Linked DNA regions of Oryzias latipes. The protein of the gene in region 1 purifies or fractionates together with the protein of each later gene. This does not show direct contact. Links are inferred from orthologs where the notes say so. Each region holds a gene or a part of one and is shown on either strand. Other genes may lie near its edges.

The links.
Region 2: the proteins of topbp1 (region 1) and atr purify together in Homo sapiens (affinity purification with western blotting; 8 studies listed by BioGRID). This does not show direct contact. The link is inferred for Oryzias latipes from reciprocal best matches to the Homo sapiens genes TOPBP1 and ATR.

Annotation. Positions count from the first base shown.
Region 1 is NC_019878.2:21,471,030-21,477,871, forward strand, and holds the start of topbp1 (DNA topoisomerase 2-binding protein 1), read right to left. Parts: upstream 4,533-6,842; 5' UTR 4,467-4,532; intron 4,461-4,466; exon of another isoform or gene 4,116-4,460; intron 3,618-4,115; 5' UTR 3,611-3,617; coding exon 3,524-3,610; intron 3,420-3,523; coding exon 3,285-3,419; intron 3,209-3,284; coding exon 3,065-3,208; intron 2,663-3,064; coding exon 2,481-2,662; intron 1,959-2,480; coding exon 1,765-1,958; intron 923-1,764; coding exon 746-922; intron 650-745; coding exon 492-649; intron 395-491; coding exon 231-394; intron 1-230. Other genes in the region: dnajc13 (dnaJ homolog subfamily C member 13), read right to left, coding at 6,048-6,145. UniProt on the Homo sapiens protein: Scaffold protein that acts as a key protein-protein adapter in DNA replication and DNA repair. Composed of multiple BRCT domains, which specifically recognize and bind phosphorylated proteins, bringing proteins together into functional combinations.
Region 2 is NC_019880.2:5,822,970-5,829,329, forward strand, and holds part of atr (serine/threonine-protein kinase ATR), read right to left. Parts: coding exon 6,231-6,360; intron 6,157-6,230; coding exon 5,992-6,156; intron 5,921-5,991; coding exon 5,829-5,920; intron 5,748-5,828; coding exon 5,656-5,747; intron 4,598-5,655; coding exon 4,420-4,597; intron 4,341-4,419; coding exon 4,161-4,340; intron 3,032-4,160; coding exon 2,872-3,031; intron 2,712-2,871; coding exon 2,532-2,711; intron 2,428-2,531; coding exon 2,285-2,427; intron 1,838-2,284; coding exon 1,740-1,837; intron 1,668-1,739; coding exon 1,438-1,667; intron 1-1,437. UniProt on the Homo sapiens protein: Serine/threonine protein kinase which activates checkpoint signaling upon genotoxic stresses such as ionizing radiation (IR), ultraviolet light (UV), or DNA replication stalling, thereby acting as a DNA damage sensor.

The DNA.
Region 1 (6,842 bases):
AAAAAATCCTACTTTATTTATTTATTTTACATCCGAATAATTCAAGTTTATCTGCAATTTCTTTAAATATTTGGATGCAGCTTGATCACAAAAAATTAGAAATTATTAACTCAGAACTTAAATACTTAAATTGACGTTTAACTCAATCCAAGCGGCACAAGCTTAGAGTCAGTTTAAGGGAAAAAAAACATTAAATATTTAGACACAGAATTTCAGGGATTTTATCAAACCTGTAAGCTGCTTTGGAAAGAAACTTTGTGAGTTCCTGGTCCGGCTCTCCCATCACCACATGTGTGAGTTCCTCGCTTGGTTGGTTGAAACGTAGACCTCCTGCATTGTTGACAAGACGCCGCAGCTTCTCCAGCTTCTTCAGTGGAAGGCCGCACAAATACAGCTGTGAAGTAGCGAGCGCAGAAGAGTCCTGCCTTCAAATCCTGCACTTCACTTTCAAACAAGCATCGACAGTAAAATGGAATTTGTCAGTGATTTACCTTACAGCCATCCAGTAAGTCATCAGCAGGACAAACGGTGAGATCCAAACCATCTATGGGATCGGCCGTTTCCAGGCGGCTGATGGTGAGGGCCGTGTCGTTGATCGCCATACTGCCACTCACAGAAATGTTGCTCAAGCCCAAAAGCGAAGGACCATCTAAAGGAGGCAAATGTTGTTTCACAAGACAACACGTTAAAGATGTTTCGTTTTTTAAGGTCTAAAAGGTGAATTCTGAGCCTTTTTGTTCCTCGCCTTCCTTCCTGCCGTTGCCTGTGGGGGTTGAGGTGTGAGGTCGGCTGGTATTTGACGCGCGGCGCTCCACGGCGTACCTGCTCTCATCCTGACAGAAACCTTTCTCTATGCTGTCAAATAGCCAATGCAGAGATACGCAATACACATTCCATTTGCGAGCACACTCGTACTTCTGACCTGCAACAAAACATAAACCTTCAGAACAAAAACACCACCAGTTGTGTTAACTTCATTACTAAATCGCTGTTGTTGTTTTTTTTTTTTGATAATGAGAAACTTTTTCTAAAAACAATCACCTTTACAATTCCAGATTTTTTACACTTTTGGAAGAGTTTTACAGGAAAACAACAAACTAATAGGTTCATTCTAAGAGGGGTGACACAAAGTGGATACATTTGAATACGTTTACACCGTAAGCATCAAACACATGCGTTGTGCTAAACTTAATATATGTAACATTATTTTATTACATTACACTAATTGCTACTTGCTTAAAAGCAAATTTAAAAAATAATTCTCCATATTGTTTTTGTTGTTTTTGTTGTTGACGTTTTGTAATACACAAATCATATATCAAACAAAAACAAAACGGTGACACAAAAATTGAAGCCTCAACCAAAGGGAATTGTTGCATCCCTAAAGGATTACACAACAGCATCAGGCACACCATGATTGCAGGCAGACAGCTGCATGAAAATGATATTGATAAGTTTGTTTGAATCTAAATCTGCTTTGACTTATCAGGTGATTGTAGTGAGAGCAAACGTCTTTCATCATGACAGTATATTATGGAAACACAAACTAATATGCTTGTAAAGCAGCAGTGATGGGTGGTAGAGTAAAAAAATGTACATTTTTTATCAAAGCTTTATTAGTAACAGTAAAATATGACACAAAAGAAGAGAAACTCATTACAATATGAAACAGTTCGTAACTGTGTTAGTGAATGTTCATGAAAATGAGGACGTATCGGGTATTCCTATTATAGTCCAGTTTTGTTCTATATTTTAGTGTCTCACCTGCTGGTTCACTGACAATGAGGTGCGTGCACTCGTTCATTTTAAGCTGGCCGCTGTACTTGGCGCCGTGCTGTTCACAGAGGCGCTGCACCTCTTTGCGTTCTGTGCTGGACAGGCCTGTCACACAAACGGTGCATCCGAGCAGCACGGGGCACAGATATTCATCCATAGGCAAGTCTGTGTATCTAAAAAGGCTGAAGAGAGAATAAAAAATATATAACTCTACAGAAACTTAGTTTTATGAATCAGCGGTAATCTATGGAAACTAGGGTGATGAAGTGTAAAGAGTAAAAATAACAATACACTATTAGCACTTATAATAAAGACCACAAAGGAGCAAATATTCATTGATTCATTCATTCATCTTTCATTTTGTCCCTTTCGGAGTCACGGGGCTGCCAGAGCATATCCCGGCCACTTGTGGGGGAAGGACACCCTGGCCAGTCTGTCACAGGGTAGACTGTCCACAATCACACACCCATTCACTCTCACTCTCATGTTTTTGGGCGGTGGGAGGAAGCCGGAGTCCCCAGAGAAAACCCACGTATGCACGGGGGAGAACATGTAAACTTCACACAGAAAGACCCCCTTTTGATGTTCCATTTCAGGTCCCCCAGCCGGGACTTGAACCAGGGGTCTTCTTGCCATGAGGCAAGACCGCTAACCACTGCGCCACCCAGGAGCAAATATGTAAAACAAAAATAATCAGTTCATACCTATTCTGAGATTTTTCCCAGCAGGCTTTGACCCATGAGGGTAGAAGGATGGGTTTACCCAAGTTGGCAGCCACCAGATACTTTTTGCTTCCAACCTCCCCAGCAATTAAATGTGTGACGGACACATTAAGATCAAGGCAGGCACGTCCACCCATGAGCTGCACCAGATCCATCACATCCACCTGCAGAGTGAGACAAAACATAAACATGAACAAACTCAAGGCCCGAAGGCCAAATGTGGCCCGCCATGTCACTTTATGTGGCCCGTGAAAGCATAAAAGTGATTTAGTGTCAATTCATGAGGTCACATTTGGGTTTTCATTTAACCTAAAAAAACAACAACTAATTATAAAGTTTCTATTCTGGTTTCATGTAAAAAAAACTGTTTCTTTTATTCTCTATATCAAAAACTAACAGCAGAGATATTTGTGCCTAAAAATGCAAGAATCTGCATTAAACGAAATGATGCACAGATTTAATTAACTAGTTTTCAAAACATTATCAGTGCAATACATGCAAATAACACAACTGCAATGAAATGGTGCAACAGTCTCAGCATTTTTCAAAGACAGACCAGAACTCACCCGTGCGGCTTTTTCCAGGCTGGTGCAGGAAATAGTGACATCAGCCATGGCCATGTTGTAGACCGGCTTCTCTGCTTTTGGGACGCAGCGTTGCTGCTGCAGGCAGTACAAAACCACCAAGGGGCTCACGATTCTACAGCCATGCTGCACAACACAGAGCAACGAAGCGTTCATTCCTAAAAATCCTGCCAGGAATTTTGCTTTCACTAAGGCGACAAACCTTCTTGCAGTGCAGAAAGGCAGGAGAGGTAAAACTGCTGAACACAAACAGAGACTTGTCCTTCTCTTCCATCTGTAAAACCTCTTCCTCTTTAACCTTCTTTAAATATTTTTCAGACTGCAGCTCCAAAATGGCCTGTTAGAATAGGATGAAAATTATATAATAAATACTAAATAAATATACATCGATGAACATCCAGAAAAAAACGTCTGCAGAAAGGACTGTGCAGTTGTGTTTACCTCATACGCTTTAACAGCATATTCAGCATTAGATCCTTTACTCTCCACAAACTTCACAATAAAGCGCTCCTTTTCCACTTTGGACATGTTGAGTCTACACAAGAGTCAAAATAAAAGTTAGAGAACATCTTCTTTACGTGCCCAACTTTTGATGCCATGTTTATATCAGCATGCAATAAAAATCAAACAAAATGAATTTAAAAAGTACATTTGATGGAGCAGTAATTTAAGGATTTAAAAAAAAATCATTAAAATTATAAACACAGCCGGGGAGCATTTGAGTTTGTTTGGATTGGAAGCTGCTAAAATCTGGGTGCAGCATAACAGCTGAAATAGGTTTAACTGCTGGACATGATGGGACGGCAGAGTCAGCTAACATTCAATGTTAGCACTGAACGCTAGCTAGACTTTTAACTTGAAGTTTTTTTTTTTATTTAGCGAATTTTATTCTGTAAAAAGACGCCGAATTGGGAAGACGTTTAAAATGTGCCAAAAGAATACAACTTGTCATCATAACTAAATGTTACAGACCATGGAACGACTCAAGAAGGAGTACATCATCATGAATATATTTAAACTGGAAAGTACTTACCTATAAATCCGTTTAGACCAGTCCTTTAGGCCGCAATACAGACAGCATGTAATCAATAGTCTGGTGTAATGCGTACAATGCTTTTTTTTTTTTTTTAATTCAAGGAGTCGCTACGTTTATACTTTCATTTAGATCAAAACTACTACTAGCTTACAGAAAACGTCCAATCGGGTTAGCTAACATTCAAATTGTCAAAAACGAAAGAATACTTAAGTAAAGTAAGTTGGTGTTCAACATTCTATTTTGCCAAAATGAATAAATAAATTGACATAAAAATACAAGTTTATTCTAATAATAGTAATTTTAAAAAGTCCTCAGGCTCAGCCAAATGAAATGCAGTTATTTGTTTACATTGTTCGCGCCTTTCGGCGTAACTTCCGGTGTTACTCCGTAATGTGTCCGAGTGGAATCGGAGATCTTTCTTCTTGGCCGGGACGGCACGCATTTAGCATAAAACTTTAAAAATATATATCCGTCAGAGTGTCCATATGTAACTCACTGTCCTAGTAAAATAGTAGTTTGAAACATATACCATTAATCACCCTAAATGTATTTGGTTAAAATTAAATTAAAAAAGCTACATGTCTGCATGTACAACTTCAAAGTCATGCCCGGCATGTGACGTCAATAGTAATTTATCTACAATTTGGTTTTCACTATCCCCCCCCAAATAATTATTTTGGGCCATACATTCCCACACAATCATTTTCCCTATATGACAGAAATTCATCAAAACATTTGTTGTAAAAATCTGTATCAAAGCCAACTGTCATTCAGACTACAAATACGTCTTCTGTAAGAATAAATATACAATAATATTAAAGATTGTTTATTTAATCAGTTACAGAAATACCCAAATTACCCTAAAATTGTAAAGAAGACTTAGACTCAGTAGGTAGTGGAAATATTGATACCTTTTCATAAAAAATATAGATAATCTTAACTGAATGTTAAGCAATTAAAAATATATATTTGACAATAGTATGATTACTAGATTTGATTATTAGACAAACAGAAATAGACATACAAAGAACAACACTGTGGGTTCCCTTTTATTCTTAAAATTTTATGTACAAGTGTGACAGATTTTTTATTTTTAAATGTACATTCATGTAGAAATTTTATATACGCAATATTACATGGAACATTTCACAAATTGCACTAGTCTTTCACAAATATTCTTAATCAGTCACTCAGGTCAGCAGAAGCTCATTCCGGTGGTTATTTTTCCATTTATAAATATTCTAGTGCTTTTTGCTTTCTGGGAGGAGAATTACTTAAAATGAGTCATGGAAGAAGATTAAACTAAAGAAAACAGAATCAATGATGAAGAGTCGAAGGCTGGAAAATAAAGGGGAGCAGATTCGTGTAATGATCCCAAAAACGTATGCAGGTCGAAGGTTTGATCTAGAGTTGTTCATTTGCGCAAACCGAACAGAAAAAGTCATTTTTTTCCCCATTACTGGTGTATTTTTAAAGACAGTTTTGTGAATTACATGTCATGTGAGAGGTGAAAAGGTCCAGACACCATGGAGGCAAATAAATCCCGTCGGAATAATTTCAGTTTAACGCATCAGAGGAAGAAAAACATTCCCTAAATAACAAGCCTTGGTTTGCCTAGAAAAAAATCTAGAGTAAAAAATATATTCATACAAAAGTAAACTTTTTCTGTTGTTGAAAGAAACAAGAAAAAATTAATAGAAACAAAACAAATGTGGTCACTAAAAAACAAAAGGTTTATGAAGACTTGAGTGCATAATTTTTTTTTCTCTTTTGAAAGAAGGGAGATTGATGTCTGAAAGATTTTGTGACAAAAGGTGAGGGCCCGCTCTTCTGTTTTCCCTCTCCCCGACCTTTTTCTGCTGACCAGACAGTCCGTTGGTGAGGCTGCGGGGCAGTCCGAGTGTCTGAGCGTGACTGCACGCCGCTTCCTCAGCCTAGGTCTCCAACGTCATTGTCCACAGGGGGTGGGACACTGGATAAAACTGTGGTGCCAGTTCCTGCTGTTAGGTAACCCGCCACTCCTGGACCTGCAGATAAAAGTAACACGAGAAATGATGGATGGGAGTTCTTTTTTTACATTTTTTTTTTTTTTAACAGGAGTTATTAGAAAACCTCTTAAGCTTCTCTACATTTAACTGGCTTTAGATGATTTAGAGAATTTTTTGGGATAAAGCTTATTAGACAATGCAAATCTTCACTGTCAGTTGTGAAATTTTCCGGACCCTAGTAAAAGATTAAAGCCGATATTGGCGTTGTATGGGCTGCAGGCGATACCTGCCCCCAATTTTACCCGCCTTGGCTAGCTGAGCAGCTTCTACACACCCCTTACTCTCCCATTCTGCCCCCGTCACCCTGTGCCAAAAACTCATGAAAAAACAAAGAAAAAAAACTTTTTCAAAATGGTGGCTTTTCTGTTAGTTTATCTCCATAGCAACCATTTCATGTTTTGGCTGCCTGGAGGTGACGAACTGATTTAAGTAATTTCTAAAAGAATCTGCAAAAGTAAATTTTCAGATTTCCTTGGCAACAGAGGTTTTTTTTTTTTTTTTGTCAAGCACATTCCTAATATGCTTATTCTGTATGTAATATCATTTTGTTCAGCCAGAACCGACAATCCATGTATAAAACTTTCACAATATTCTGGTAAAAACTGTGCGAGTAAAAGGGGAATGCTCGTGTTCAAAATCTACAAACATTAAAACCAACATTTTTCCAAATCAAACA
Region 2 (6,360 bases), on another chromosome or scaffold:
ACTGATGACATGTGATTAAGCCCCTCAAGAATGATTGGTGGAGACAGTCAAAGGGACGGGACTTTTCCCAAATACAGCCGGAGCTGCAGCTGAATCGTGGTACTGTCATTCTTATCAAAATGTCTTTAATAAAATAAAATAAACGCAAAGAAAAAGTATTTTACGATCTTTTATATTCCTAACTCCTCAGTGTTTTATCAGGGCCTGTTTGGATGAACACAGAGCTGAAATCCTGGAGATGGGAAATGTTTTTAGATCAGTTAATGAGGGCAATTTTCCACGGCACACTTGACCATCACACTGGTTGAAAAACATTGGAATAGAACAACATTTGCATTTACATAGTAACACCTTCAAAAAATTGGATATATTCACAGAATAAAACAGCATTGACAATGAATGTCGCAGTTTTTCCTTTTAGTAACTATATTGATTTAAAAGCAGGCAAACTAAAAAGCCTTTTAAAATAAAATGTCTATAAAGTATATTAAAGTTCATTTATGAAATGATCTTCAACCACAAATCAGAGGCTAAATCAGTACTTTTTAAGTTAAAAATAGGAATAATGGTTGGTGGTTGTTTTTTAAATATTTTTTTGTTATATTTTGTATTTAAACTAAAAGATCCACACATGTTGGTGTTCGCTATCTTTTGTATTCTTTTCTTTTTTGTTTTTTGGGAAACAAGTGAATTAATGTGTTTATTTTTAACAATGTAAAAGGAGCAGAAGAGAGTTTTGCCCTTTCTGTTACCCTTTCATCGTCACAAAAAATGTTTGTGTGCTGTATTGTTATATTTACTAGAAAGTAAATGAATAAAATCAAATCTAAAACTTCATCTTTTTTAGTTCAAGGCATAATGATGTAGCTTAAGAGTTTTAATTTTGTATTGCCTGAAACGAGCACTTTCAAAATGTAAAAATAAAAAAAAATTGTCCACTATTTAAACTATAATATATTTGGCATTCTGGTCTGCATCAGAGTTTGCTTCCTTAGATTATCCGCTTCGTTTATCAGGCATAAAACCACATCTACAGTCTGGTGCAGGCCAAATAAGTGAATTCTGGTCCACTTGCAAGTGAACCCTGGCGCGATACGGCAACGGTGAGAAAACAACAAAAGATTTGACCTTTTCTGGGAAGTAAAGCAAGGAGAGTCAGTAATCTTGTGGGTTTTAGTATGAAAAAAAACAAGCTTCTTTTTTTTTTTTTTCTGGTCTAACGCAGTTGGAACAGCCTGATGTTTTGACACAGTTTAATCCGGTTAGTGTGAAGGTAGACCAAACCAAAAAGAGATGTGAAATTTCCATTCTAACTAAATCTGGTGGACTAATAGAAGAAAAGGGGAAATGTAGCTGGAAATATGTAACAAAGAGTATAACCAATACAGAAACATACAGTAGCTGCCCGTTATGATTGGAAAAACACTGCATCGTTACCTTGGAAACAGCAGCCATCAGCCACATGGCCTGCTGCGGGTATGCCAGGAAGACTTTGGCTACGATATTCATTAAAGCAGCAAAGACCTCATCACTGGAATGACACACTCTAGAGATGAGCTGGGAGAAGGCGGTGAGGAACTGGTATGGAGCCAGGTTGGCGCAGTGCTCAGACACGATGGAGTTGATTTTACTGAGCTCCTGTCGCATCTGTCTGTCTGCGCGTCCAGCTGTGAATGAGAGGCGTGAAGAAGCTTCAGTCATGTCGGGCGGTGGATGGCTGGAGGTTTTTGGTCACTCACTTTTCTCACATTCACACACTTTGGCTCCAAAATCCAACCAGAGCGACAGCATGCGAGGCATGGCCTGGTAGATGTACTGGTTTCCAAACTGAAGTGCCCTAAAAAGTACAAAGATTCCACAAAAAAAGAAAAAAGAATTGCAGTGTTTCCCTGTTGATTGTAAGAATTATCTTCTCAAACAGCCCATCATAGGCGAAATCCGGCAAGTAGTGATTTATTTTAGAATAAATATAGATAAAACCCCTCATTACACACTTTTCTCTAACAGACAGAAACATTTTCACACTTTTCTCTCTTGTTTAAACTCTCAATATTCAAAGCTTTGTAGAAAACACGTCCAGTATTATAGAATGACAAAGATTGATGTAAATTTGTCGAGCTGAATGCATTCTGTATAGCATACAGGGCACAAAGGAGACTGACTGGCAAGGTCTACAACCAATTTTCTTCTTTCATAACGGTGGACCGCGATCTAGCCAGGAACCGCTGACGTCACTGTAGTTTTGAGCCACAAGGTGACGTCTAGATAGAGGAGGCTAACGTACTTTCCGAAGAACGTAACGATGTATCGGATGAGGTTTCCTTGCTTCTCCAGCTTGTTATCGGTCACCATTGGCATCACTTTGTCATAGTACTTAGCCAGATAGAAGTTCCCATCCTCCCACTCTGGTAGAAGGTTTGTCACATCCTGAAAAAATGCAGCAGATTTAGAGAAGCACTTCAGTTTGAAGAAGAAAAAAAAGTAGTTTAAATACAAATGTAAAGAGTGATGAGAATATTAAACAATATGACCTTATAGGCCTTCATGATGGCATTAGACTCGAAGTTTGCCGTCTCCTCCATGAAGCGTCCCACCAGCAGCATGGCCTTGCCTTTGGTTTGAAGGCTGCGTGGGTCCATCAGGGGCTGATTATCGGGGAAACACTGTGCCACGCCCTTCTGCAGTACAATCAAGGCCTGGTGGACATCACCCTGATCACAAGAAAATGCAGAGATTTTGTTAGAGATCATCTCTGCTCCTTTGTGGACCTTTGAACTTTGTTCAAAAGTTCAAATAAATGAGTGCAGCGTTACTATGGTGACAGAGCTAAGCTTGTAGTGGTAGGTGGATAAGTTGATGGGCTGGATGCACCTTGGACCAGAGCCACTTGGCCTTCTCTGTGACCAGCTCAGCCAGGTGAGTGTTGTTGGCGTTGAGGAGGGCGTTGAAAGCCGTCTGGTGGTGTCCGGCCTTCCTGGCCACCCGAGCACTTTGGAGCCAGCACTCCCCGACCAGCTCCTGACGCACAGGCCTGAAGCACGGGGAACACAAAATTATTTCCCGGACTTTTAAGTCAATCAAGAAAACATCTATTTTAAACAGCATTCCCAGCATTATGATTATGAGGTTTTTAGCCAAAAAAAAAAAAAAAAAAAAAAAAAAAAAAAAAAAAAAACCTCACCGTGCAGCCCCTGGCTAAAAACCTTTTTTTAGCCAGGGGCTGCACGGTGGCGCAGTGGTTAGTGCTCTTGCCTCACAGCAAGAAGGCCCCCGGTTCAAGTCCCGGCTGGGGGACCTGAACCAGAACATCAATGGGGGACCTTTCTGTGTGGAGTTTGCATGTTCTCCCCGTGCATGCGTGGGTTTTCTCCGGGATCTCCGGCTTCCTCCCACTGTCCAAAAACATGCTTCATAGGTTGATTGGCAACTCTAAATTGACCATAGGTGTGAGTGTGAGAGTGAATGGACGTGTGATTGAGGATGTTCTACCCTGCGACAGACTGGCGACCAGTCCAGGGCATCCCTTGCCTACGCCCAAGTGGCCGGGATAGGCTCCGGCAACCCCGTGACCCCGAAAGGGAAAAACGGTCAAGAAGATGGAGGTTTTTAGCCAAAATCAAAACACCGGTGTCCTCTTCTAGGACATAGTTTCTGCAGAGTGACTGTAGGTCATTAGATATTCATGTGATTTTGGTTCCCCCATCTGTTTACACGCTTTCCAGATAGCTTACAGCTCATCACAGCCCCCAAAATCTAACATTACCGGTGCAAAAAAACGACGAGCAAAATTGGAGCCTTTCAGCTGAACCGTTTAGATCCAGATTCCAGCTCAGACGAGGAAAATGAAGACGTACACGGATCTATCCGTCTGCAAGTGAATGCATTTGCAGGGAGCTCCTTTTTAAACTGCATTTTTTGTCTGCTCTTTATTTAGAAATGCAATTCTAAGCTCACTTTTGATATACATATATATATATATATATATATATGTATGTCCTCAATCATGAGAAAAATGCCAGAAGAACATGTTAAAAACACCAAGAATGACTTTTATCAGAGTGGGTCTTTAGGACTTAAACACCACCTTAAAAAAGGTCAATGTGTTTAAGTTTAATTTATGCCTAAATATAAAATAATGTTTTTTTCTATTAACGTCTTACTGTGGTCCCAGGCTGAGCAGGGCGCGACGGAGAGCCAGGATAGGTTCTTTGGCCCTGAAGGACTTCTGAGTCATCTCCAATCGGTCTGACCAGTGGGGGGGCAGCTGGCTGAGACTCGGAGTGGAGCCCCCAGTCTGCAGCTCAGTGAAGGCGTGCTCCAGCTCACTCAGCATGTGCAGCCTGAACACGCAGACAGACATTTTTCTTTGCTGGAATCAAAAGCTAAAACGGTGACAGGCGGCTGATGTTAAGCACGGACCGGACGATGTATTCGTATCCTCTCTGGTAGGTCCCACACTCATAGCTAGCAGCAGACAGGGGGACCACTTGTTTGGTCCTCACCAGCTTCAGCTTCTCACAGAAAGTCTCAGCGTCCTGCTTTTGCATGGAGAGCAGCAGCTGGCCAAGCCCCACTCCCCAAGTGCTCGACTGCTGGTCTACGGGTGGAAAACAGAAAAACAAACTCAGTCAAAGCTCAGTGCAGAGATGTTTTAAAAAGGAACTAACATAATAGAAAAACAAATCTTAAAGATGGGTCAAAAGTCTATCTTGTTACTTGTAAATATAAAGAAAAATGCAAATCTCTTAAAATACTTTTCAAATCCTCTTTCAACCTAAAATCCTTCAGCTCATGCTGCAGTGTGATGCCACCAGTTTAATCTTATTAAAATGTTGGCCACAATTTTTCCACCCAAATAAAATGAAGATAGTTTTTCTTTAGGCAAAGCTATTTCATTGCAGGTTCTGTTCCTGCCCGGTCCCGCCCATGTGTCGAAGTGTCCTTGGGCAAGACGCTGAACCCCACTTTGCTCCTGGTGGTTGTAGGTAGACGCCAGTGTTTGGCAGCAGAGCCACCGTCAGTGTGTGAATGTGTGTGCGCATGGCGAAACAACCGCAAAGTGGTATTCATTCACGCATTTCTGGGTTTTCCTCTAAAAACCTCCGATAAACGAGCGGGTTCTCACATTGTAACGTAAATAAGTGGGGAACAGCCCCTTCCAGGAAGAGTCTGCGCCGCCAGCTCCACCCCCAGGCTAACAGACACACCCACTTTCTCAGTGCTCAGCTAGCGTTGATGGGCAAAACGCTTTTGTGCACCATTTGCACATCCATCTTTGTAAAAGCTTGGACGTTGTTTGTTTTCGTGGGCAAAACACAGACACGCTCTGGCTTGTCGTCATGAAATGGGCAGGACCCCAACGGAGAGAAAGGTGGTGCATCAGAGATTAAGTCGTCTAAGTTCTGGGTAGATAAATGAGCTGTGAAAATAACTAAAATTTCATTAAAAGATTGTTCTTTTGTGTGCCAAAGGTAATATATTATTATATATATGGATATAATTTACTCTGAAAGGTTTAAGAAAAGCACGACATAAGCCCTTTAAAATAAAATATCTTTTCTTAAAAAATATTCTGTCGTTTCTAATTTTCGTTATAAAAACGGATTCCAGTCTGAAGTTGAATTGGGTTTCCTAGAAACCAAATTTCTTCTTCACCTGAACTTAAATAATCTTCCAGCAGGTCCCACTTTCCGAGCTTCCAGGCTGCCTCCACTCTGTAGGAGTTCAAGTCCGATTTCCAATGCTTCCTAAAGAGGTTTAAGCAAAGTGAATCAACTTCAAATAACTAAGACAGAAGCAGTCAGAAAGCTTTCGTGCTCGTGTCGTACTTGTTGGCTAGAACTCCGTTGACTTGTGTGATGACTGTGGAGAGTTGTCCCAGACCGAGCATAGACGTCATCACGCCATGATAATGGTCAATCTGGAAAAGGGAGTTTTCCGGTTCACCTCCAGCAGATGGCGGGAATAATAATCAGGCTTGAGTGCGGGTACCTGGTCAGACTCCAGCTGTATGGCTCGGTCGTAGCAGGCGGTCGCGTCTCGGAGCAGGCCGATGCTCTCGTGCTCCAGTATCTGTTCCCGTAGCGACGGCTCCTCTCTCCTCAACGCGTTGACGCCCCGCACTCCATCGGGCTCGTGCATGGCAGCGTACAACGTCTGCAACAGCAGCCGCACATTCAGACCCATTGACCCCCTTAAAAACCAAAGGAACTTCAGAGGATGAACTTCACCTGCAGGAAGCTTAGGTGGTCCTGGATGTTTAGCTTGTTTTCTAGGATGTAAGTTTCAAAGTGCATGAGAGCCCGGGTGTACGCTTTGGATCGCAGGGAGGCCTTGGCCAGAATGTCCTGTGGAATTCCC